Callithrix jacchus: one gene and its partners. The protein of the gene in region 7 interacts with the protein of the main gene of each other region in a pairwise test. Links are inferred from orthologs where the notes say so. Each region holds a gene or a part of one and is shown on either strand. Other genes may lie near its edges. The genes, in order: TXLNA, FAM161A, PTPRD, DTNB, CCNH, PPP2R5D and PPFIA1.

What was found.
Region 1: the proteins of PPFIA1 (region 7) and TXLNA interact in binary tests that used the Homo sapiens proteins (3 or more experiments, as listed by UniProt). The link is inferred for Callithrix jacchus from reciprocal best matches to the Homo sapiens genes PPFIA1 and TXLNA.
Region 2: the proteins of PPFIA1 (region 7) and FAM161A interact in binary tests that used the Homo sapiens proteins (3 or more experiments, as listed by UniProt). The link is inferred for Callithrix jacchus from reciprocal best matches to the Homo sapiens genes PPFIA1 and FAM161A.
Region 3: the proteins of PPFIA1 (region 7) and PTPRD interact in a two-hybrid assay, tested with the Homo sapiens proteins (2 studies listed by BioGRID). The link is inferred for Callithrix jacchus from reciprocal best matches to the Homo sapiens genes PPFIA1 and PTPRD.
Region 4: the proteins of PPFIA1 (region 7) and DTNB interact in binary tests that used the Homo sapiens proteins (3 or more experiments, as listed by UniProt). The link is inferred for Callithrix jacchus from reciprocal best matches to the Homo sapiens genes PPFIA1 and DTNB.
Region 5: the proteins of PPFIA1 (region 7) and CCNH interact in binary tests that used the Homo sapiens proteins (3 or more experiments, as listed by UniProt). The link is inferred for Callithrix jacchus from reciprocal best matches to the Homo sapiens genes PPFIA1 and CCNH.
Region 6: the proteins of PPFIA1 (region 7) and PPP2R5D interact in binary tests that used the Homo sapiens proteins (3 or more experiments, as listed by UniProt). The link is inferred for Callithrix jacchus from reciprocal best matches to the Homo sapiens genes PPFIA1 and PPP2R5D.

What each region holds. Positions count from the first base shown.
Region 1 is NC_133508.1:68,784,935-68,789,214, reverse strand, and holds the start of TXLNA (alpha-taxilin), read right to left. Parts: upstream 2,801-4,280; 5' UTR 2,734-2,800; intron 2,199-2,733; 5' UTR 2,167-2,198; coding exon 1,998-2,166; intron 926-1,997; coding exon 599-925; intron 1-598. UniProt on the Homo sapiens protein: May be involved in intracellular vesicle traffic and potentially in calcium-dependent exocytosis in neuroendocrine cells.
Region 2 is NC_133515.1:52,310,044-52,313,244, forward strand, and holds the end of FAM161A (protein FAM161A), read left to right. Parts: intron 1-1,265; coding exon 1,266-1,410; 3' UTR 1,411-2,701; downstream 2,702-3,201. UniProt on the Homo sapiens protein: Involved in ciliogenesis.
Region 3 is NC_133502.1:114,784,546-114,788,045, reverse strand, and holds part of PTPRD (receptor-type tyrosine-protein phosphatase delta), read left to right. Parts: intron 1-2,489; coding exon 2,490-2,775; intron 2,776-3,191; coding exon 3,192-3,370; intron 3,371-3,500.
Region 4 is NC_133515.1:89,527,276-89,531,557, forward strand, and holds the start of DTNB (dystrobrevin beta), read left to right. Parts: upstream 1-1,482; 5' UTR 1,483-1,529; intron 1,530-4,282.
Region 5 is NC_133503.1:123,478,033-123,481,532, forward strand, and holds part of CCNH (cyclin-H), read left to right. Parts: intron 1-716; coding exon 717-787; intron 788-2,906; coding exon 2,907-3,018; intron 3,019-3,500. UniProt on the Homo sapiens protein: Regulates CDK7, the catalytic subunit of the CDK-activating kinase (CAK) enzymatic complex. CAK activates the cyclin-associated kinases CDK1, CDK2, CDK4 and CDK6 by threonine phosphorylation.
Region 6 is NC_133505.1:51,496,147-51,499,562, forward strand, and holds the end of PPP2R5D (serine/threonine-protein phosphatase 2A 56 kDa regulatory subunit delta isoform), read left to right. Parts: coding exon 1-88; intron 89-1,076; coding exon 1,077-1,178; intron 1,179-1,274; coding exon 1,275-1,347; intron 1,348-1,477; coding exon 1,478-1,594; intron 1,595-1,745; coding exon 1,746-1,883; 3' UTR 1,884-2,916; downstream 2,917-3,416. Other genes in the region: MEA1 (male-enhanced antigen 1), read right to left, coding at 3,042-3,193. UniProt on the Homo sapiens protein: The B regulatory subunit might modulate substrate selectivity and catalytic activity, and might also direct the localization of the catalytic enzyme to a particular subcellular compartment.
Region 7 is NC_133511.1:127,261,386-127,264,885, forward strand, and holds part of PPFIA1 (liprin-alpha-1), read left to right. Parts: intron 1-1,458; coding exon 1,459-1,560; intron 1,561-1,905; coding exon 1,906-2,070; intron 2,071-2,598; coding exon 2,599-2,673; intron 2,674-3,303; coding exon 3,304-3,405; intron 3,406-3,500. UniProt on the Homo sapiens protein: May regulate the disassembly of focal adhesions. May localize receptor-like tyrosine phosphatases type 2A at specific sites on the plasma membrane, possibly regulating their interaction with the extracellular environment and their association with substrates.

The DNA of each region.
Region 1 (4,280 bases), on a different chromosome or scaffold from region 7:
TGTTTGGCTCCTACCATTTTAGCTGCTAACTATGAAAAAATCTAGAGATCTAGATTTCTGGCTTTTCTTAAAAAAAAAAAAAAAAAAAAAAAAAAAGGCTGGCTGCTGCCTAGTTAAGAGCAACTAACTAAATAGCAATAAAGCCTTTGGCTAAAGTAGGCTCTATCTTCATGGAGCCCCATAGGCAGCCCAGCTTATGTAGACATTTGGGTTTCCAACTCTGGGCTAGTCTGATTTTCTTACTGTAAACAGAAGTAGAAACTAGGACCCAGAGAGGAGAAGGGGCACACCCAAGGTCACAAGGCAGGTAGTACTGGCTGGCACAGGAGGCTACCCGGACCTCCTGCTCTCCATTGTCTCAAAGAGCAGGTCACACATCAACCTCCCGTTGCTCCAAAAGCCAGAAGACCTTGTGCTGGAAACCCCTGCATCTTTCTATGTGTGACTCCCACATCCCTGGCTTTGATTAGACTAGGGTGACTTGCTGCTCTGAGAAGTACCATTTCCTCTGAATCCTGGCAGAACAGACTTGCCCAGAGAACATCAAGTCCAAATTCCCTCCCCTCACCAGCTGCACAAAGAGCCACTCTCTGCTCACCCAAACCCTTGGCTTTTTTCTTCTCCTGTGGCCTTCGGTGGTCTCGGTCTCCCACATCATCACTCGGCCGGATCTCTTCTGTGCCTGGCTCCCCCTTGGAGGGTACCTTTTCTCCATTGACTACTGGAGATGGCTCAGGCTCCCCATTCCTTGCCACATAGGTCCGGGACTTCTCTGCATCTTCCGGCTCACCCTGTGCCCCATCCTCGCCTGGGCCCCCCTGGTTATTGTCCACACAGTATGTGCTCAGTATGTCTTCCAATTGGCGGCTCAGCTCCTCAGAGACATCACGGAGGGCCCCAGATTGAGCTGTTTTGGCTTGTGCCCCTAAAGCAGGAAAGAATGAGAAAGAAGACAGCAAATCTAGTTCCTGTCAGAATTTAGATTCAAAACTTTTTTTTTTTTTTTCCAGATGGAGTCTCACTCTGTCACCCAGGCTGGAGTGCAATGATGCAATCTCAGTTCACTGCAACCTCTGCCTCCCAGGTTCAAGCGATTCTCCTGACTCAGTCTCCCGAGTAGCTGAGATTATAGGCATGCACTACCACACCTAGCTAATTGTTGTATTTTTAGTAGAGACAGGGTTTCTCCAACATGGAGGTCAGGCTGGTCTCAAACTCCTGACCTCAGGTGATTCACCTGCCTTGGCCTCCCAAAGTGCTGGGATTACAGGCGTGAGCCACCATGTCCAGCCTCGAAACATCTTTTAAAAGAAATTATAGTCATCGTTGCTTAACTTTTTTTTTTTTTAAGATGAGGTTTCACCGTATAGGTCATGCTGGTCTTGAGCTCCTGACCTCAGGTGAACTGCCCGTCTCAGCCTCCCAAAGTGTTAGGATTACAGGTGTGAGCCACTGTGCCCGGCAACTTTTTTTTTTTTCTTGCCAGACTCAGGTAATGGATGCTCAACCTCTTTAAGTCTATTTACTTGTAAAATGACACAACTATTTCTTACTATCACCCGAACATGTTGGTTACAAACATAAAAGTATGTAAAGCATCAGCACACAGGGCTGGCATGAAGCAACTTCTAGTCCATCTCCTTCCCCCCTCACCAACCACTTCTTGCCATTCAGATTGTTCTAGAAATGCCTCAATCCAGGAAGGGCAGTTAGCTGTTGGTGGCTGAGGTGTTTCTAACAGGACCTGGATTTCCTGACTGGGTGCCTCGTTTGGCTGCCACCTGACTTAATCCTGTCAGAGCTTCTCTCCAGAGAAGAGAACTCTGTTCCTGTGCTCACCAACTCGCCAGGGCGCCGGAAGGACCGCGGCCCCAGCACTGCCCTCTCATTCTACATCTCCTCCTCTGCACAACCTGGCCTCGGCCTCTAAATCCAGAAGTGAGGCCAGGCGCACAGCTCCTCCCCCTGCCCGCTGGCAATGCAGAGCTGGCACACACCCTCCGGCTTCCGAGGAGCCTGCCCGCTGCCGGGACCTTCAGCTTCTGCCGCAGGAGCCGCCTGGCTGGGCCGCTCCTGGGTTCCCTCGGGTACCGCTTCCGGTTGTCCCGGGCTGCTTTTTGGGTTGGATTGTTTGGCAGCCCCGTTCTTTTTGTCTTGGTTCTTCATTGTGATGAGCGATGCTGGGTCAGAAGGAGATCCTTTAGAAACAAACACAGTTGCAATTTTTCAGACTTCGAAATTCTTCGCAGTCTGGATCAGAAATCCCCACAGCAGGCGCCCAAAGCTTCTTAAACGGACCGGCCGGCCCCGGCGGAGGGCGCCAACGGCTCTCCGGTCTTGGCGGGTCAGGGGAGCCCGGTGTGCCGTAGCAGGCTTTCGCAGCGCAACGGAAGAGGAAAGAGGCCTCTTTTTCTTCTCGGAGCCACTTCCCAGCACAACCAACCCCCTCACGGCAGGCCGAGAGCGGGATTGGCTCGGGGCCGGAGACTGACGTGGCGGGGCGCAGGAGTCGCGGCGCCGCCCCCGCCCCTCAGGACCCACGTGCGCCCCCCGCGCGCGCAGCCACCCACGCCCCGCGCGCCCTCCAGCCGCGAGGCACGCCCGCGCATGCGCACACGCCCTAGACAGCCCCCCGGCCCACGCGCGGAGTCGCCGTGATTTCCCCACAGGCCGAGAACATCCCGGCCCGTACACCCTCCGATTGTCTCTCCCACCGGTCGCCGCGGCACGCACCTCACAACCGACGTCCGACGGCTTCTCCAGCTCTGGCCTCCACCGGAAACCCCGAGTAACCACTGCCGGCGAGCAGCCTGCACCCGCCGCAGCCAATCAATAGCCGGCGCCGGCGCGGAGCTTGCTGGGAAGGACGAAGCGAGGGCGGCCTTGGAGGCGGGCGGGACCTGAGGGCGGGGCAGCGAAAGGACTACGCGTCCCTCTGTGCGCTGGGGCTGGCAGCAGCTCCCAAAGTGCAGACGGGGCAGTAGTTCTGGGAGTCCAAAAAGAGCCCGTCATTCCGCGCAAATGCCCAGGTCAACCTTGTTTCTATCTCGCAGAAGTTATGCCTCAGCTCCTAAAGCCTTGCGCCTAGCATTGTTTCCTGCAGGCCTCCGTCAAGCCTTCTTCCCTGGCCTTGAACAAATGTGACTCCATCCAGGAATTCCGACGAATCGGGAAGAGGGATAGAGTCCTGGGATGAGGCCCAGGAGACCCCTACTCCAGTCCCAGCTTCATCATGGATTTGCTGTGGCTCCCTGGGCCTTAATGTCCTTCTTCCCAAGGAGGTGTTTAATAACAATAATTTCCTTGAGCGCTTACTGTGTGCTTTCCGGTATCTAATAGCTTCATTCTCATAAGCACTCATTGAAGTAAGTACTGTTAGCGCCATTTTACGGAAAAGGACAGTAAAGAGAAAGGCTGGGTAACTTCTCCAAGGTTACATCGATAGTGAGTGGTTAAAACGGATTCAGAATTGTTAACTCTGACACCAGCACCCAGGTAACTTCTCGGCTTCCCTTTTTCTTTTTTTTTGAGACGGAGTTTCACTCTTGTTACCCAGGCTGGAGTGCAATGGCGCGATCTCGGTTCACCGCAACCTCCGCCTTCTAGGTTCAAGCAATTCTCCTGCCTCAGCCTCCCGAGTAGCTGGGACAACAGGCGCGCCCCACCATGCCCAGCTAATTTTTGTATTTTTAGTAGAGACGGGGTTTCACCATGTTGACCAGGATGGTCTCGATCTCTTGACCTCGTGATCCACCCGCCTTGACCTCCCAAAGTGCTGGGTTTATAGGCGTGAGCCACCACTCCCGGCCTACCTTGTCTTTTACCCAGAAGAAACACCACCACAGCAGGTTTTCCAGAGGCAGTCAAGGTAACTTGTGAACATAGGTCATATTTTCCCCTCTCCTTTACCATTTGGCAGTCAATTCCTCAGGAAGGTGCTGAGTTAAGGCTTCAGGCATATTCTAGAGCCTTTTCTCTGACTGCCCCACTGTCTACTAAAGTCTCACTGGGTTTAAAGTAGAAAAAAAACACAATTCTCTACACGTGAGATCAGAAATTCTGTATCCCCGTTGCCTCTGGATAATGAAATCAAACCCAACAATCTTTGTGCCTGGAATTTGAAGCATAAGAGGTTTGGCTTTTGTCAAACTTAAAATCTTTTGAGGCCCAGTTCAAAGGTCACTGCAGAGCCTTCCCAGTGCTCTGCAATCTGTACTTGCTCCCTAGGTCTGCAGAGTTCTGTTACAGCATTAGCAGTGAGGTGTTGAAATTAATATTTG
Region 2 (3,201 bases), on a different chromosome or scaffold from region 7:
AAGATGTCTTAATGGTTTACCTTTGAAAAAATTGTTACCTGCAGGAAAGCATACAATTTTGTACTATGTATATATTTTTGTTCTATATTGTTTTAAAAAATATTTTACCCAGTAGTAAAAGACCTGTGAACTCTTTTAAAACATATTGATATTTTGACATGTGTAACACATTCACATTCTTGTGGTGAAGTATTATTATTTTTTTTTATTTATTTTTTAGAGATTGGGTTTCACCATGTTGGCCAGTCTGGTCTTGAACTCCTGACCTCATGATCCACCCACCTCAGCCTCTCGCAGTGCTGGGATTACAGGTGTGAGCCACCACTCCTGGCTGTGAAGTATTTTTTTTTAAAACAGAATAACTTAGATTTCTTACTGACATAAGTAACAAAAATAATAGCATGCTTTCAAATGATGTTTAAAGAATCAGTCACTCAAATTTTGAAGTAAATTTGTTTTCACCTGGGCGCAGTAGCACCCACCTGTAATTCTAGCACTTTGGGAGGCTGAGATGGGTGGATCACCTGAGGTTGGGAGTTCTAGATCAGCCTAACCAACATGGAGAAACCCTGCCTCTACTAAAAAATACAAAAATTAGCCAGGTGTAGTGGGGCATGCCTGTAATCCCAGCTACTTGGGAGGCCGAGGCAGAAGAATCACTTGAACCTGGGAGGCAGAGATTGCAGTGAGCTGAGATCGCACCATTGCACTCCAGCCTTGGCAACAATAGCAAAACTCCATCTCAAAAAATAATAATAAATAAACAAATAAATAAATAGATAAATTAGTTTTCAAGAATATTAAATTTCTCAATTGCTGACTTTTTTTTTTTTGAGACAGAGTTTTGCTCTTCGTTGCCCAGGCTGGAGAGTGCAGTGGCGAAATCTCGGCTCACTGCACCGCCACCTCCTGGGTTCAGGTGATTCTCCTCTTTCAGCCTCCCGAGTAGCTGGGATTATAGGTGCCTGCCACCAGGCCTGGCTAATTTTTGTATTTTTAGTAGAGACAGACTGGTCTCTGCCAAATGCTTGCCAGGCCTCAGCCTCCCAAAGTGCAGGGATTACAGGCATGAGCCAACATGCGCAGTCTCAGATGGCACTTTTATAGCATTTTCTGTTTTTTTTTTTGAGTTTTCTTGATAACAAATTGGAACTCATACACTTGAGGAAGACTGGCTACACGGTGGCACACTTGCAGAGGGGTTTTTTTTTACATTTAAACCAACTCATTTTTCCTTCGAAAGACTGATAAATTTCTTCCCCTAGCTTTAATGAAGAAGAAAAAATAGAAGAGAGAGAAAATGGGGAAGAAAATTATTTTATTGATACCAACAGCCAGGATTCTTATAAGGAAAAAGGTGAAGCTGATGAAGAGAGTGGAGAAGAGAAATCTGTTGAAGAATCACACTGAATCATCAAGGTCTCCTCTCTATGCCCTTGCTGCTGTTCGCAGTGTCAGGGTGTGAGCAGCTGCATTTGTGTTTAGAACATCTGTGGGGACACCTCTGATTTGTGCAGGGCAGTTGAGCAAAGTCATCTGTACCCTGAAAAGCCTGAATCCAGTTTATTGGTCATTTGATCAGTTAGAGTAAGGCTTTGCCTATTCAGTTTTAAAAATCATTATATACAATCTGTTTACAACTATGATTTTGTATTTTTTAAAAGTGTTTGAGAATCACAGCTGTCAAACTGTTATAAAAATATACGTTGTTTCATTAATTTTAATAGAAAAAATGGCTTAGTATTGAAAGCAGAGAGAAATATTGGTCTTTGGTGATTTACTTTTTAAAAATTTCTGGAAAGTGTGAATCAATGAGTATTTTTAATTATACTATTTGCCCATTCTTTTTCTCTGAAATACATTTCACAGAATAAATCCTTGAATTTATTTTGCTACTCTGAGCCATTTTTAAAAGTATAGAAAAAAAATACTTACAAATTTTATTTTTGCACTGAAAGTTCACTGTTAAATTGTCTACACCATCATCCCTTTTTCTTTTAATCCTTAGTTCTAGTCAAAATTATTTTTGATACGTAAATTATTAGGAAAGTTTTTATACTAGCTTTTTTAAACCTTTGTATTATTACAGATGGAAGTATTTATGGCATGTGTGAGTTATAATCTAAATTAGGGGCAAGTATTCCTGTTTTATATATGATGAAATTGTGCATAGGAACTTGGCTAAGGCAAGTATCCAAAGTAATTCAGATTTAACTCTTTACTGCTAGACCCAGTTGTGTTCAACTTTTTACATATTGTTGCAAACACACTTTGTCTCTCTGGGTACAATGTTAATCTGATTTTATGAAATAATTTTTTCTTTAAGCAAATTTTTGTTTTAAAATTTGAAGCCAATTATAAAGCTGTTACAGCATAAGACGTCTTCTCTTCTAAAAACAATCAGCATCATTGTAAAAGGATGAACTCATATAGGTGTATGTAATAGCAGTGTTCCCCAACTGGCAATTTGTGTTTTAAATTGAAAAATAAGGTTATTTTTCTTCATTAGGGGCAAATGTTTACTTGTAATTTCCTTCCTACAGTTCATGTTAAAAGTGAAAATTACTTTTCACTTTTATTAAATTGTAAACTCCTTGGGAATTGGCACCATTTACAAATTCATCTTTGTATTCCCTTAATATTTGGCACAGGATTATACATATGGTAGGTACTTAATAAAGGTTTGAATGACTGTGCAGATGAATATGGTTTTTATATACTTGTAGCTATTTCAGCATGAGTACACATGGGATTAAAAACATTTTCCTCCTAGCTCATTGGGAGCCAGTGAAACACAATCTACAAATTATAATAGTACTTAAAACATTACTTGCTTTCAAAGATTCACTCCTCAGCCTGTCCCTTCTCAATTTCATGGGGAGAGTGTGGGCTTTGGTCATGAAACACTTGGCTTCAAGATCAATCTCGTTTTCTTACCTTAAAAAATATGGGAATTGTACCTATCTTGGGTAACTGTAGGAAGGACTGGATGAAATCATGAATGGAAAAGCTCTTTGCAAACTGTGATATTCAAATGATGGTGTCAGAAGACAGAACATTCCTGAGGAAGCTATTGACTTAAAATACTTTTACTTAAATGAGATACACTGTGATTTAAATATTACTTTGTTAGAAATCACTTTTGAAGCACTTTGTTAGATATAATCTGGTAAACACAGAGCCAAAGTTAAAAAAAGAGAG
Region 3 (3,500 bases), on a different chromosome or scaffold from region 7:
GTTTTGTTCGATCATAGCCTCTGTTACTTCTTTTCATCCCACAATTCATGATTTGGACTCAAACACATATTTTATTTTTTTCCCTTATTTTTTGGATTAAAAAAATCACCATTATGAAAAGGTTGACACTGTTTAGAGTTGGAGTTATTCCTACCAGTTTTTCAAGATCCTGTAGTATCCTTCTGCCAGAGTATAGAACCATGCATCATCCAGACATTTGAATGGTCCCTGATGCATATTTTGAGAAAATAGTCCTGCCATTATCTAGAATTGATGTGATATATAGGGCTCAGTTATAAGGTTTACAGTGTGATTTCCAATGGGAAGAACGGCATAAAGCTGTGTCCAATTAGAAACGCTGCACAGCTGCAGTGAAGACAATTTAGAAAGATAACACAGAAAGAATGAAAGATGTTACTCTCGGGACCTGCCAAACATAGGGTTTGAAAGAAACCCAGAAAGACAAATCTTTTCCAGATTAAGTCTGACTTGGGTTTAACTGCAATCCAATGGCATATCGGGAGACCAGCAAACACACTACTTATAAAGTGTTTTCCCTGTCTCTTTATTCCCAATCAAACACTATCCAGAGCAGTCCTCAGATACTCCTTACTTAGTTCCAAAGCCTTGTCAGATGTAGGATTTTGAAGTGACTGAAGAGTCCTGCTTCCTATGTAGGCTTACCTTACCGGGATGGACTGCTCGTTACTGGAGGCCTCTCAAGCCAGTCACTAATTTGTTTACTTATTTCACAGACACTGTTGAACACTTACCATATGCTTTGTGTAGGGCACACACAGTTTTTTTTTAGTGCAGTTCCTGCTCTCAAGATGATTGCTATTGTTTATGGATGGCTACCCTAAATTAATAAAATAAATTGGTTTCAACTATAGTGAAGAGGGGTATTTGAGGGCACCAAGAGATCTGAGACAGAGGGTGATTAAAACCGCCTGGGAAGGTGGGAATGGGGAATGTCAGGGAAAATTTGCCATCTAACAGGCTTGTTTAGAACCAACTAAATAAAATGAGACTTTATGGATCATTGGTCTGTGCTAAGGTATGTGCTGTCATCTTAAGACTATGTTTCAGAAGGCTTTTGCATGATGTATTAATATCATGTCAATGTGTGCATTTATACTTGGGTTTGGAGTCTTAGCATCAGTATTCAAGAGCCCTCTGGCATAGGACATAAAAAAGGGTAAGCTATTTTAAAATACTGGTTATATCAGAGATTCCCAGTTAGCCCAGTCTACAAACCAAAGAGCTCCTGAATGGAAGCTAGCTTTGATACCCACTGTTCAGAAGTTAAATAAAGGTGTTATTTTGTTTAAAAAAACGCTCTTACTGCCTTGCAGCCACTTGACACCAAACAGAAACTGCCATTTCAGTTGAGACAGACACACTGGTGAACATTAACTCATTCATTTTGCAATTCTGGTGTCTTCGTTGCACTGTGCCACTGGTGCCTTGGCAGATCTATGAAAAGTTTCACTTGTAGCTCCCAGAGCCATCAGTGTGATTACAAAAGCCATCCATCTTTTTTCATGCTATAGCATCTTTAATTCCTCATCCTTCCTGTCCTTCAAGTCCTACTTCAAATGCCACATCATACACAAAACTAATATATCATTTTTCTTTCTCGTCTTAGAAATAGCTGTGTACGGAGTGTTATGTTCCTTTGACACACTCTGAGCTCTTTCAAGATAGCATCTAAGTCATCTTTATTGCTGTATCCCCTACTTCACTTAGCAGAGTACTTCATTGTTCATTGAATGAAGAAGTGGATAGATCAATGATGGATGGACAAATGAATACATAGATACACAGATGATAGGAAAGATGGCAAGTAGCAAATGAAGGAGGCTGTCTGTTGCTGGTTTTCTAAGGTGGTAATATATACCTATTGCTGTTGATTACCAGCCTGATAAACACAGGTGATCAGGAGGCGAAAGTATTTTGGATTGACCATACATGACACATAAGTGTCCTCAGCCTGAAGGGTTATGATAAATAGGAAATAGGTGAGGTTTAGCTTGAGACTGTAAAAACAATCTTTATATTTTGTACATAGAACTAAAATAGATTGAGAGGGTTTGTAAAAACCATAGCCTACTCAGATCTGGACCAAAATATAAAAGTATCTTCTCAATTCAGACAGACCAAATGTTCGTATTTTTTTCACGACTTGAAAAGACTTCAAAATAATGTCTACTTTGTATTGCATGATCAATAACTATAGTGACTACGGATTTAATATTTTTTACATTTTAAAACTAAACTAATTTCACCCAGTCTGTTGTTCCCTGCCCTCTGATTATGATGCCTGGATAATATTTTTGGCTTTAAAGTATTACAAAGTCATCACAATAGCTATTTGCGTAGAAGTAATGGATGTAAGGTCTAGTTAATAAGAATAATAAAAATACTTTTGTTTTGTATTGATTTTTCTGATAGATTTATTTTGGCTTTTCTCTTTATTTTCCTCATAGTGCGGGAGTTGGCCGGACTGGTTGTTTCATCGTCATAGATGCCATGTTAGAAAGAATAAAGCATGAAAAAACTGTAGATATTTATGGCCATGTAACTTTAATGAGAGCCCAGAGGAATTACATGGTTCAAACAGAAGACCAATACATCTTTATCCATGATGCACTGTTAGAAGCAGTGACTTGTGGAAATACCGAAGTGCCAGCTAGAAACTTGTATGCCTACATTCAGAAGCTGACACAAATAGAAACAGGAGAGAATGTCACAGGAATGGAGCTTGAATTTAAGGTAAGATATTGGATGGGATGTGGTTCTTCAGGAGCAAGTCATTCTTGGTTTGTCTTTGAGTTGTCCCTTCACTTTCTTAACCTTTCAAATTCGTGAAGTACAAAATTAATTTGACCTTCCCCTCAGGTGTCTGATTATAAAACACATCCCTCTCCTTTTCCTCTTTTATTCATAGCTTCATAACAATGCCCTGAGCCCTTCTGTCTCCTAATTTAAATTGAGAGATTATACTTTCAGAAAATATATAAAAATCCAATAGGCTATAGGGAGTAATTGGGTAGATGTGAAAAGAGGTACAATTTGAATCGCCATTTACTTTAAACAGAAAATTTATATCTAAAAGGGAAATTTGGGGTATACTACATTTAAACAATAGTGAAAATGATCTTCGTTGGTTTCTTTTTTCTATTCAATAGCGTCTAGCCAGCTCAAAAGCTCACACCTCAAGATTTATCAGTGCCAATCTTCCATGTAATAAATTCAAAAATCGCCTTGTTAATATTATGCCATATGAATCCACAAGGGTATGCCTGCAGCCTATCCGTGGAGTAGAAGGATCTGATTACATCAATGCCAGTTTTATTGATGGATACAGGTATCTACTGTTGCTCCTCTGACTATCCAAAGCCTTGATATTTACATGCGCCCTAGTTTTAAAACTAGAATAAATTTCATCTCCATTCAAAGCTATTTTTCTGCATAGGTCAGCATTTAGTCCCTTGGTA
Region 4 (4,282 bases), on a different chromosome or scaffold from region 7:
CTCATCTTCACTAAAAATGCAAAAATTAGCTGGGCATGGTGGTGCATGCCTGTAATCCCAGCTGCTTGGGAGGCTGAAGCAGGAGAATCACTTGAACCTGGGAGGCGGAGGTTGCAGCGAGCCAAGACTATGCCTCTGCACTCCAGCTCGGGCAACAGAGCAAGACTCATCTCAAAAATAAATAAATACATAAAAATAAAAAATAAAGCAGCTGAGCCTCCCTTCCCTCACCCACGACCATGCAGGGGCACCCTGGACGTATTTCAGACCTTGCACGCCGAGCCGGCGGAATGGTCTCTACTTCTATCCCAGCTAGTTTCCAGCGCCCTTTGCACTCTTTGTACAGCCAGAAACCCTTCAAATGATTAACTTTAACAAATGGGAGAAGCTCAGTGCTCCTCGACCCTGGCTACGCATTATATCACTTGGGGTCACTTAAAAAAATTCAGCCCAGGTGCAGTGGCTCATGCCTGGTCCTAGTGCTTTGGGAGGCTGAGGCCAGAGGATCTCCTGAGCCTAAGAGTTTGAGGCTGCAATGAGCAAGACTCTGTCTCTTAAAAAAAATTAGTTCCGCCAGGCGTGATGGCTCACGCCTAGAATCTCAGCGCTTTGGGAGACTGAGGCAGGTGGATCACGAGGTCAAGAGATCGAGACCATCCTGGTCTCGATCCAGGGTTTCACATGGTAAAACCCTGTCTCTACTAAAAATACAAAAATGAGCCGGGCATGGTGGCATTAGCCTGTAGTTCCAGCTACTCAGGAGGCTGAGGCAGGAGAATTTCTTGAACCCAGGAGGCGGAGGTTGCTGGGAGCTGAGATCGCGCCATTGCACTCCAGCCTGGGTAACAGGCTGGAAAAAAAAGATTAGTTCATCTAGATGAATTTTGGGTGCAGGTATATTTTCTCAAAAGCATACCAGGTGACAGGTATGTGAGAACAGCTTGAATTACCCTTGAGCCAGTTTAGAATGTTTTGTCAACATAGAATTTGTTGACATTTTCAGGTGTTTGACAACACTACATAAATAAACAAGCCTTTGATAAACTAACAAAACCTGTAGGACACTCTTCCTCGGACACTCTAGCCTCTGGATTGCCTTCTTGGGGTAATTCTTGGGATCTTTTGGGGTGCCATCAAGCCTCCTGCCTCGTGAGCTTTGCATGGTATGGCAGAATGATAGCTAATCACCCCTGTAATCCCAGCACCTGGAAAATATGACAGAAGTCTCGCTAGCTATCCAAGCCAGTCCAAATTTCAGCTTGACACCTAAGGACAGTTTTATTGAAGAATACAACTGCTGTTCCCGAGATAAATCTTAGAAAGCTTTGTCTTGAAAGGTTTTTCATGCAATTTGTCACAGGCTCTCATAATCCACAGGATGATACAGAGAGTAAAGATCAACACCACCATTAGCGCTGCCTCTCTTCCCCGCCCTCCGAATCCCACTCAGAGGTGTTCGAGCTGGTTTTCTGTGCCAGCTTCATTCCACATTTGGCCAAGACCGAGGACTCAGGCTTCAGCCTCTGGGGGTAAGGATTTCCACATTGTTATTTGCCATGCAAAATAGCAGTTCCTATTCATTTCTTCCAAATCTGCCTCTGTCAACACAGATGGCGCGCTACCCCGTACTGCTGGGACTGTGAGATTCGGCAACATTGTCTGTGTCCTGACTGTGCGGACCTTTGGCAGCCAAGCTATCACCATCCCCTGAAGGATGGATTTTGGTTTTTGTTTGCCTCCTGTGAAGGACCTTCTTTCTGCTAATCATTTGAATTACTCTCTCCTGGACCCCTTCCAGTCCTATCACGCCATCTGTAAATGGCAGAGAACAGAACGAGACACACATTATGGTGTCAATGTATAATAATTTGATACAAAGATGCGATTATGATGTTTTGTTTTGAGTATTGCTATCTGCACGTTCTTGGTTTTTTTGGTGGGATGGGGGTGGAGGTGGGAGAAGGAAGCTAGAAGCCAGAGCAGGCTGGACAGTGGATTTTATTTACAACTTTAAGGAATGGTTTTCAGGTTCATTAAATTGTTTTCCTTCAGCTGTTATTACCTTCCTCCTGCTCACACTGACACTCGGAGGGCAGGTGTCTGCCCTCCCACGCAGCTCGCTCACATCCTTCTGTAGCCTCCTCCCTGCCACTCTCAGCTCACTCACTACCTGGCACATGACCTTGGCGATTCCACCACGCATCTCTTCCCCAGATCATTTATCACTATGGTAATTAAGACTTGGATGTTCAGACTGTGGAATGAAAATAGAACAGGTTCTAGCACAGATTTTAAAAAATATTTTTCTTCCTGCCTCCAAAAAAGTACATGTTCATTTAAGACAGTTTGAAAATACAAACAAATGCAAAGAAAATTAAAATAATTCTTAATCCTATTACCCAGAGATAACTTCTTCAAATATTTTGGTTTATATTCATCCAGTCTTATTCAAGGAACACAGTAAACACACACTTTTTCCCTTTATCTTTGATAAATATTATATTTGATATATTCAAAGAATATATGTAACATTACACTCCCCCCACAAGAATCAAAACATTATAAACAATGGCAGTAATTGTCATTTACCTAAGTGCACCCCTTAGTCTCCCACTTCCTCTCATGGGGTGGGAGTATCATTCCCTTGCCTTATTTTTTTTCCCCTTGCCTTATTAAAGTAATTTTAGAAATTGTTTGTGTTTATTTGATTTTCAGCTTTGTAAAAATGGTAACATGCTATGAGTCATATGTTTCCTGCTTTTTTCACGAAGAAAAATGTTGGTTCAATTTATCCATGCTGTGTTATGCAAATGTTCTTTTATTTTTGCTGCTGTTTAATATTTCCACTGTGGAGATATACACATTTATACATTCATTTTTCTCTTGCTGGCCATTTGGATTGTTTTCATAAGTCTCAAGAACAGGCTGGGAGTGGTGGCTCATGCCTGTAATCCCAGCACTTTGGGAGGCTAAGGCAGGCAGATTGCCTGAGCTCATGAGTTCGAGACCAGCCTGGGCAACATGGTGAAACCCTGTCTCTATGACATACAAAAATTAGTTGGGCGTGCTCATGCACGCTTGTGATCCCAGCTACCCTGGATGCTGAGGCATGAGAATTGCTTGAACCTGGGAGGCAGAGGTTGCAGTGAGCCAAGATTATGCCACTTCACTCCAGCCTGGGTGACAGAGCGAGACTCTGCCTCCAAAAAAAAAAAGTACTAAGGACAGTGCAGTGATTGCACATTCCCCTTGGTGCATGCATGAAGAGTATCTTTGGGGTTGAATAGCTGGATATAAGGTAGGTAGAATTTCAACCTGTTAAATATTGGCAAAATGGTTGTACCAATTTATACTCTCACCATTACTGTATAGGAGTTTCCAATTGATTAGCCTTTTTTCCAACATTTGGAATTGTGAAACTTTAAAACTTGCCATGCTAGTAGGTGTACAACGTTGTAGTATTAATTTGCATTTTCCTGAATGCGAATGAAATGGAGGATCTTTTTCTATGTTTATTGACCATGTGTTTTCTCTTCCATAGAATGCTTGCTCCTTTTTCTATTGTGTTGTCTCCCACATTTTTTTTACTTTGAGTCAGAGTCTTGCTCTGTTGCCCAGGCTGGAGTGCCATGATGGATCTCAGCTCACCGCAACCTCCGCCTTTGGGTTTCAAGCAATTCTCCTACCTCAGCCTCCCAAGTAGCTGGGACTACAGGCATGCACCACCACGCCCAGCTAATTCTTAGCTTTTTTTTTGTATTTTTAGTAGAAACAGGGTTTTACCATGTTGGCCAGGCTGCTGTGGAACTCCTGACCTCAGGTGATTCAACTGACTCAGCCTCCCAAATTGCTGGGATTACAGGCATGAGCCACGATGCCTGGTCTCTCAAACATATTTTAAACAAAATTTGAGCCATACTACATATACCATTTTATATCATCTAAAACGTTCTTTTACAGTGTTATTTTAGTGATTTGGGACTCTTCTATCTCATAATTTAATCAGAGCTCTGTAAGTATTTTTTTAAATTTTGGTTTTGAGAAATAACTCTGGTAAGATATTCTATTGCATACATTTAATTACACATAACTGAATGTTTTAATAAAATAAGTTCTAAGAATTGAGATTTCTGAGCCTGGGAAACATGGTGAAACCCTGTCTCTACAAAAAAATACAAAAATTAGCTGGGCATAGAGGCATGTACCTGTAGTCTCAGCTGCTCGGGAGGCTCAGGTGGGAAGATTACCTGAGCCTGGGGAGGTCCAGGTTGCAGTGAGATAT
Region 5 (3,500 bases), on a different chromosome or scaffold from region 7:
AAAACTAACACTTTGAGAATCTGTTCATTTGGACTTTTATCAATTATCGGTCAAGTTCAGGTATGTAAAACCTTAGAGTAATTAAAAATTTAAATATAGAAATTATGTTTTTATACTGTCAGTGGCCCTGAGAAAAACAAGTAATTGAGTTTTATATCACATTGATGGAGAAGTTTAACACCTTTGATTTGGACTTGATGCAAATAAGTATTAGGTGATAGTCTTGTTGGTTTGAATGTCTGTTACTCCAAAGAAGTACAACTATAGGTAAAATGGCTTTCATATTAAGGGGACAGAAAATACCAGTGCCAAATTCCAGTTTTGCTGCTTCCTAAGTTTATTTCTTTGGGCAGGTTACAAGATCATGACTTGCTCATCCCTGTAACTGAGATTCCTCTTCTGTAAAATAAGGTTAGACTCATAGGATTTTTATATTAAAAGGTATAAATTTATAAGTATTGGCTATTACTGCTGCTTTCATACTATTTCCTTCTGAAGGTTTATGCCTGAATATCACTAAATTTAAATGAATATAAACATCTTTTAATGTAATTGGTAATAAATCCTTAAAACATAAGAGTTATGGATTATATTTTTATACATTTAAACATTTTAAAGTTACCATTGATGAGATGGAGGAAAATAATTGATGATGCCATGCTTTTGCAATGTGCTGTATGTTTTCAGTAGATTAAATTTTTTCTTTCCTTTACCAGTTATTTATCAGAGAGTCTGATGCTGAGAGAGAACAGAACTTGCCTGTCACAGTTACTAGATATAATGAAAAGTAAGTAAAACAGAACACTCTACATATGTTCTTCCATTACAAAGTTCCTTTCTAAATAAATATCTTGGTGTTTAACTAGAAATATAACTTAGATTTTTGTTTAGATTTATTTTCATTGAGTGACTATATTATGGAAGCACTGATCTAGAACAAATAGAAGGTACATGGAAGTAGTGTTCATGTATATAGAACTTATGCAGAGTGAAACTATAATTGGATTTAGAAAGGGTTTAGAGATTGACAACAGGATCCTTTTAAAGAATAAAGAAACATACTAGTCACTAAAAAAGATGTAATGGGAACTAACTTAAGGATAATGTTTAAATTTGGAACTTCTATTTTGTGGATAAATCATTTTTTTAAAGAGAAGGAGATTTGACACACTTAGAATAGGCGCTGCTAAGACAACAGAGAAAGATTTAAAGATGCTCACCTTGAAAATTAGAGTGATGTGGCTGTAAGCCAAATGAAGCTGGCAGCCACCGGAAGCTGGAACAGGCAAGGAATGGATTCATCCCTGGAGCCACCAGAGAGTATGGCCCTTCTAGCACCTTAATTTTGACCAATTGAAACAGATTTCAGACTTCTGGGCTCTAGAACTATGAGACAATACATTTCTGTTGTTTTAAGCCAACAAGTTTGTGATAATTTTAATAGCAACTTCGGGAAACTAATGTAGCCCTGCATAACCAAGAATTATCCCACCCAAAAAGTCATTAGTGCTAGTGTTGAGAAATTCTGTCCTAAGGGTTGAGTAGAATCTCATCTTATTGACTGAATTAGCCAGCATTCTCTATTCTTCATTCTTGCCCATGGCACACTTGTTGATGGCTGCTAAGCTACTCTTTGGGGTTAAAGCTCAATCATGTTTGTTCCCAAACCTTGTTGTCTAAATTGTTCTTAATTAGATTTGTAATTTAATTAAATATTAAACCAGTGTAAGATTGAAGATCTTGATCTTGGATGACAGCAAATGGGTATACATTTTATATATTTTGTGTTTTAAAAGTTAAGATGCTTGAGGACATCTGTATCATTTCTTGATTCTCTGCTTGAAGTGATCTTGAGAACTTTCTTTGAGAGTGATGGGCTCATGGTTTATGAATTAAACTGTAGCTCTTTAGTTATACCACTAGGGGGTTCACTTTCAAAGCTAATTGTGAGTTGACTATAGATAATAGGAGCATAGAATTTAGTAGGTAAAGGGAGTCTTATTCCACTTTATTTATTTCATAGCTTAGTTTTATTACTGATTTCTTCTCAATACCTTTATTTTGCTCCACTTATTTTAAATGAAATAAAAATAGCTCTTCATAAAATATTTATAGATTTAACGTACTAAGATATTTGTAATGTTTGGAACAGATAGTGTCTTATGGGCGTTGAGTCACAAGTATTCAGTTGAAAATACTGCTTTGTTTGCATTATGAAATAGGTCAGTATAGTCATTTGGATCACAAGGCTGGCAAATAATAATAATAAGCCAATTGGCGCTCTCCTCATTCCCCTAATAGGTTTTGAAATTTGTGTTCTTTGGTTTATTATAGTTGAATAAAAAGATCAGCTAGAGGATGCTTTTGCAGTTATAAAGTTACTGATATAGTAGTTTGCTTTTAACCTAAAATGGACATTTTTTTCTATAGGGTCTGTTTTTTGTTAAAGCAAAGGATTATTAACAAATTTTTACTAAGCATCCTCCCTTTATTGCATGTTGTGTAATAACAGTTTCCTTTGTAAATGGGAAATATACTCTTAGTCCACTATCTGTGGAATAGAATATTATGAAGATGGTTGGTGATAGAGAACAAAGCATGTTCACTAAATCATTTAGGGATTTTTTTAAGTCTTAAGCTGAACAAGTGACCCCAGTAGGATTTGCAAAAAATTAATACTAGATTACACAGTGTGCTTTATGCTGTACATGGTATGGGCTAAACAGCAGAGAGCCATAATTACTTGAATTAAACATATGGTGCCTATAGGATTTTAAAGTAGAATGATGCAAATCTTGAGAAGAATAACCATGTCATTTGAAGAGTGTTTCGTTGAAAAGTAACAAGCTCCCTTACTATGGAAAGGTTTGCTTATTCAGTTTAAATTATTTTTTGTATCCACATAGGCATGAGAAACTTAGTAAAAAAGTATGAACCACCCAGATCTGAAGAAGTTGCTGTTCTGAAACAGAAGTTGGAGCGATGTCATTCTGCTGAGCTTGCACTTAATGTAATCTCGTAAGTTGATGTTGATCTCGACAGTGTTGATCAGTAGACATAACTTTTATCCAGTCCAGCTGGTTTGTAAATCATTTTATTGGTGTTTGCTCATTTAAGGAAAGCTGACTGATCCATTGTATCAGATTTTCTTTGTTGAATGGACATTTCTAATAGATTAAACTTAAGACCTTAATAGTTCAGCATTCACTGTGCAGTTCTGATCCTGCTGTGACTTGTGTTCTTTGGCTTGCATGCCCTGTCCTGTTCTGTTACTTGTCATGGACTCTCAGGGGTCAGGGTCTTCTTAAGGAATCCTTTAACCTTTTCCTGTCATTTTAATCTTTGGTCTCTGCAGTTGTGATATTTGGTCTGAAGAACAAATGTCCTTTCCAGACTTCTGTTAGCTAAAGTAGGGAAACTTGGCATACATACTTTCTTTCAGTGCCAAACTTTATATTGAAGATAAAGCCAATAGGAAAATAGGCTGTTTAATCTCTTCT
Region 6 (3,416 bases), on a different chromosome or scaffold from region 7:
TCATGAGCCTGATAAGTGACAATGCAGCCCGAGTCCTCCCCATCATGTTCCCTGCACTTTACAGGAACTCCAAGAGCCACTGGAACAAGTAAGGCACTGGGGGGCGGGGCTGGGTGGTGGGGATCCAGTTAGGAAAACTTTGAGGATATGGAAGAACTAAGGGCCAGGGGTCTCACCTGGTCACCCAGCAAGTGGGGCTGGTGTCCCCTGCATGTTGATAGGACCTTGAGGGGCTAACTGGAGCCAAAAGATGCCTCTGTGATATCAAATAGCAGGGCAGCAACCTGTGTTACACCACTCCTTGGGGTCAGCTATTCTGCAGGTCCTGTCACAGCTTTAGAGACGTAATTCTGTGCTGCAAAAAGCTGATGTGACCCTCTTTGAGAGTATGTGTAAAGAATCCCAGGGTTTTGGGCCAGGCACAGTGGCTCATGCCTGTAATCCCAGTACTTTGGGAGGCTGAGGCAGGTGGATCACTTGAACTTAGTAGTTCGAGACCAGGCTGGCAACGTGGGGGAACCCCATCTCTACTAAAAACACAAAAATTAGCTGGTGTGGTGGCATGCGCCTATAGTCCCAGCTACTCGGGAGGCTGAGGCAGGAAAATAGCTTGAAACCAGGAGGTGGAGGTTGCAGTGAGCCAATTTTGTGCCACTGCACTCTAGCCTGGGCAACAGAGTGAGACTCCATCTTTAAAAAAATAAAAAAGAAAGAAAAAAGAATCCCAGGGTTTTGAAAGGACTTTTCTGCTAAAAGCAAGCACAGTGTGGTATAGATGCAGTCTGTCATGCTGCTGGGAGGCCATTAGTGTGGGTGAGAGAGTGGGAAAGGGTAGGAAGTAGGCAGGCCTTGGAGAATGGGGTGAGGGAAGCATGGACAGATGGACCATGAAATGCCAGTCTCAAACCACATGATTTGGCCGAAGCTATCTTCTGATCCTGCATAGAGGTTTGTGAACTGGAAGTAGTAAATGAGAAAGCTCTTAGTAGACATACCCCTGTGAGAGAACAAATTGGGTTCCTTGTGCTAAGGGCAGACTCTGGTCTCCTACACCTCATCTTTCTTCCTGGTGGCAGGACAATCCATGGACTGATCTATAATGCCCTGAAGCTGTTTATGGAAATGAATCAGAAGCTATTTGATGACTGCACACAACAATACAAGGCAGAGAAGCAGAAGTGAGTACCTCTCTCCCTGGGAGACTTTCATCTTCTACCACTAGCTCACTTTGTTTCTCTCAAGCCCAACCCCAATCCTACTTTTTTGATCCTCAGGGGCCGGTTTCGAATGAAGGAAAGGGAAGAGATGTGGCAAAAAATCGAGGAGCTGGCCCGGCTTAATCCCCAGGTGAGGATTTCCTGCCAGTGTTGTGAAGTGACAGGCCAGCCCATCTTGAGCTGGGGGAGGAATATGAGGCACACAGACCCCCAAGTCTCTGAAGTGGCTCTCACCGCTGTCCATGTCTCCTCTCACTCAGTATCCCATGTTTCGAGCTCCTCCACCACTGCCCCCTGTGTACTCCATGGAGACAGAGACCCCTACGGCTGAGGACATCCAGCTTCTGAAGAGGACTGTGGAGACTGAGGCTGTGCAGGTGAGAGGACAATGTAGGAGAATGGAGCAGAAATAATAGCTCTGGAAGGGAGAGGAGACACAGACAGCAGAGCCAAAGAATAAGGGGAGGAAACAATAGAATTCACTGGGAATTGGTCACTGTTCCTTCCCTTGTCCCTATTCACACACAGATGCTAAAAGACATCAAGAAGGAGAAGGTGCTGCTGCGGAGGAAGTCGGAGCTGCCCCAGGACGTGTACACCATCAAGGCACTGGAGGCGCACAAGCGGGCGGAAGAGTTCCTAACTGCCAGCCAGGAGGCTCTCTGACCCCCTCACCTTCTTACCACAGGGCCACAGCCCACTCAGCCCTGGAACACTGCCCCGGCCCTCCACACTCTGCTCCCTACTGGCTGACTTGGGGGAAGGCAGCGTCTCTCTAGCTACTCTAGGGAGGGGGATGTGGGCACTTGAAGCAGGGACACCCACAGAGTGGTCCCTCTTCTCCCCAAAAGGTGTTCATGCCTCCTTGTGGCTCATACAAGCTGAGCACTAAGATATTCAGTGCTCAGACAACCTGGGGATGCCTGTCCCCTACCTGCTCCTCACCCACAGCTACCTGAGGCTGCTCTGAGAAGTATACACAGGAATACATATGCTCCTCTATTCTTCCCTTCATCCTCATTTGAACACCAGGTGTCTCCCCTCTCTCTCCACTGCAGAGGCAAGTAGGGAACAGCAGGAGATTACTCTCACCAAAGTTAGGCAAACCCCATTCTCCCCTGGAGTAGCTGGAGGGAAGCCAACCCCCTGCAGCACAAATAGGCACCCCTAGCCCCAGCCATGTACTGGCAGATAGGGTTGTATTATTTCCTCTTACCCCATGCCTGACCAAGGGAGGTCAAAAGGAGAAAAGTATAGGCTATGGACAGTAACTGAGGAATATAGGGCCCAGATAGACTGGGTGGGGCCAGGGAGGGATGAACAAACACCTTACCCCATGCCCTGTCTTTGGTGAGCAGCAGCCCTGGGATCAGACATGGAAGGGACCACCCTCGGGCTGACTGCTTTCCCAAAACTAGAAGGAAGCAGGGAGCAATGCCCCAAGCATGGCTCCTGGCAACACCTATTTATTTCCTTGTTTGTGCTAGGCTGGGCATGCCCTCTCTTGTCCCTTGTAGGTACCCTGGAGGGGCAAGGGACTGAGGAGGGCTGGACCCAGGTTCCAGGTGCACAGGCAGTGCGGCTTTTGGCTGTGTATATAGGGTGCTTTATTCTCCACAGAGTGATACATGCTAAGGTGGGTTGGGCTTGGGCTGATGTCCCCATATGTACAGAACCGAATAAAGTGGGTCTCTGAGAAGCCTTATGTGCCTTGATGTGGAAAGGGAGATGGGGAAGATGGAAATGGACATTACAACCAGGGATGTGTTCAGTCCTGTGCTGGTTCTGGCCTGGAATGTAGGAAGGTAAGGCAGCTCTCTGTGGTCACTTCCAGGCAGGGGATGCCTGCCGGGCTTGGAGGGCTTTCTGTACCACATCTTCCCACTGGGCATCTGATATCTCCCGAGCCCAGGCAGGAACCCCTGGCGCAGGCAGGCTTACTCCAGCCATCGTCCTTTTCACCAGCTCTACATGTTCTGAAATCAGAGCCAAAGGCCAGTCAGGGACAGAAATAATGGGACCAGCTCTCCTCCCCAATCCCTGAATCAACCCAGCGCCCTTGGGTGGGTCACCAAATCCATCTTATTTTCTAGGCCAGCCTGCCCATCCCCAAAGCTAGCAGATGAGCATTTCACTTGGACTCTGAAGTCCACAAAATCTTAGTTTACAAACTATCTTTTTAGGAATAGGGTCTTCATC
Region 7 (3,500 bases):
CAGTCTAGGCTGCGTCTCTGTGAAACCCACACCTCCAGTTGCCTTCACTAGGACCTCCACGATTCCTCGGTTTAAAGAGGGTGCCCTTAGGTTTAAACATCACCAAACTTGGTTGCAAATGAAGTTAGTGCCTTGGGAAGGGGTTAGGAGCGGTCTCTCTTTCTACCTCCTTCTCCCAGGCAAACCCTCAGAACGAGGGCTCTGGAGTTGGGAGTGTGGACAGTGGCAAGCTTCTCCCTGACAGATGCCCCTGGTCTTGTGGTGGCAGCCAGGGCCCTCTCAGCTTGTCATTGCAGGGCCGGAGTGCAACCACCACCTCGCAGAGCCAGGGCACAGCCGATCAGGGCCCCAGCATTCTCAGCGTGCCACACTGTTGAGCCTTCATTTTAGAGTGGAGGCTGAACAGAAGTAGGAAGGCCCTCCCCCAGCCCCTCCCCCTGCCCCCACCCCCCACTGACTTCACTAGCCAGGATGTAGCATCAGCACCAGGTAGCTGGGGTGGGATGGGAAGCACTGAAGTTCTGCCCCTCCTGGGAAGAAAATGTGGTTTGGAGCAGGGGGAGAGGGCCCTACGTTATCAGCTGCAGTTATCTAGAATGAAGTCTGCCTCACTGACCTGGAGGGGAGGCAGGGAGCAGTCTTGGTTCAAATACAACAGACTGGCCATTCTTACTGAATTTTCAACTGTATGCTGACCCACTTGCCCTTAGAATGATCTCCAGAGGCTTTGAATAGTTGTTTTCTTATAATATTCACCTGCTTTCCATGGGAGCAAGCAGGTCAATGGAGCTTCTCAGGCTGTCATGCCAGAACTCTATTACCCAGAGTAGGGATTCTTGCAGAAATATTTAGGAGAGAGGCTGGGCACGGTGGCTGAAGCCTGTGCTCTCCGCTACTTGGGAGGCTGAGGCAGGAGAATCACTTGTGCTCAGGAGGCCAAAGCTGCAGTGAGCTGTGGTCACACCGCTGCACTCTAGCCTGGATGACACAGTGAGACCCTGTCTCAGAAAGATAAAGGGAGAAAAGGAGGCCAGGACAGGGGTGGTGGCCTTCTAGGCCTTCTTTCCTCTCTCTCCTGCAACTCTAGATCACGTGTCTGTGAGTCATTCAAAAACGTCTTCATGCAGTTCATGTCAGGATCCTGTGGAGGAAAATGTTTTGGACTTCTCTGGCTGCTGAGAAGGTGGACTTGGATTCCCTTTCTTCCCCTGCCTTCCTGGTGCCAGGCAAGGCCCAGGGATGGAAGGAAGTCAGATGGTCTGAGTCAGTGTTCTGATTTATTAGGGAATCTGCGTGGTCTTTGGCCAGTCCATTGATCCCCTCTTTCTCTGGAGGATCATACAGATCCCTTCCCCATAACTTGGAATGAGGTTGCCTTCGTGCAAAGATGGTGGAGCCTTGATGGAAGGCTTTCTTTGGAGGGTCTGTCCTATTTAATTTCGTTTTGTAATTTTCTAGGAGTTCGCGGCACTTACTAAAGAACTCAATGTATGCAGGGAACAGCTCCTTGAAAGGGAAGAAGAAATTGCCGAACTGAAAGCAGAAAGGAACAACACCAGGGTGAGTGTGACCTTGCTGTTCACCGCCTGCTCCTGGAGCCACTGCCTGTCAGGAGGAGGGAGCTGTCTCCAAACGGAAGGACGGCCCACTCTGCCCGGCTTCAAACACATTTCTTACCTTTTCCCACTGAGCGCACTGTGATTAGCCACACTGTCACACGTTAATGGCTTGAAATTTGTGATGAGAATTTATGATATTTTAATACATTTGAGGGGAATGTATCTTTCTACTGAATTGAAGGGACCTCATCTTAGCATGAGACTGTAAAGGTGTTATTTGCCCCAGATTCAATTATGAAATGACAAGTGCTCTTTAACAAGTCTTTATTCTGGCCTTTTATTTCAGCTGCTGTTGGAGCATTTGGAATGCCTCGTTTCCAGGCATGAGCGGTCTCTTAGGATGACCGTGGTGAAGAGACAAGCGCAGTCTCCAGCAGGCGTGTCCAGCGAAGTGGAGGTGCTGAAGGCCCTGAAGTCGCTATTTGAACACCACAAAGCTCTGGACGAAAAGGTGCCTCAGCTGCATGAGCCTGGGTTTGTGCACGTGCTGTGGGCTAGGCCAGCTAGGCCAGCTCCGCAAGTGTTCGTGTAACTTACTTTTGAAGCTTCTTGAATTCTTGGAAATAAGTTTCTGTTTAAGAAGACAGGGTTTTATAGGTTTAAAAAGTACTAATTGGCATATATGTCTTAAAATTACTAATGTAAAAAACTTGCTAATGTATATTGATTTGCTGTTACAAATTGGGTAATACTAGATTGTTGCAAAAGTAATTGTGGCCTTTGCTATTACTTTTAATGGTGGGTTTTGCTATTACTTTTAATGGCAAAACCCACAATTACTTTTGCAACAACCTAATAGTATTCAGGGGGAAGATTTTTCTCAAACTTAATTTAGAAGCATTAACAAGTTTTTTGAAAGTAAGATCAGTGGCAGACGTTAACGGTGTTTTATTATATTACAGTAATATATATAGTACACCGAACTGCAAAGTAAGAATAAACAGTGTACACACACACACTGAACCTCTTTTATTTTCAGGTGAGAGAGCGGTTACGAGTAGCACTTGAAAGATGTAGTTTGTTAGAAGAAGAATTAGGTGCCACACACAAAGAGGTGAGCTTCATACATCATCATGATTTGAATTGGGAGGTTTTTGTTTTTATCTTTCAATCATTAAAAGTAGCATAAGGGCTGGGCATGGTGGTTCACACCTTTAATCCTAGCACTTTGGGAGGCCGAGGCGGGCAGATCACCTGAGGTCGAGAATTCGAGACCAGCCTGGCCAACATGGTGAAACCCTGTCTCCACCAAAAATACCAAAATTAGCCAGGAGTGGCGGTACGTGCCTGTAGTCCCAGCTACTCAGGAGGCTGAGACACGAGAATCGCTTGAGCCCTGAAGGCAGAGTCTGCAGTGAGATTTCACCAGTGCACTCTGGCCTGGGCGACAGAGCGAGGCTCTGTCTCAAAAAAAAAGTAAAACAAGTATAAAGACTGTAGTTGTGAATATCAGATGTTATTTATCTGGGTCATTTTAAGGACTAGAAAACTGTGATTACCTAAGGACTCATTTGGCCAGTGGATAAAAATTCCATCTTTAAAGATCAGATTGGATAGCATTGCCACATGCTTTCTTTTTTATACTTTGTTAAGCAGTTTATAGTTGTGTTTTTCCAAAAGGAGTTTTACTATCTTACTTCTCTTATGTAAAGTATTTTATACTCGTTCAATTTTTTGGTTTTAGCTAATGATTCTTAAAGAACAGAATAATCAGAAAAAAACACTAACAGACGGAGTACTGGACGTAAACCATGAACAAGAAAATACACCGAGCACGAACGGAAAGGCAAGTGTGCAGGCTTTCTCTCTCTCCTGCTGGATGTCGTTTGTCCGCAGTATGTGTCGGGTTACGTGGAAAACAGTTGCTAAAGCACTGGCTTA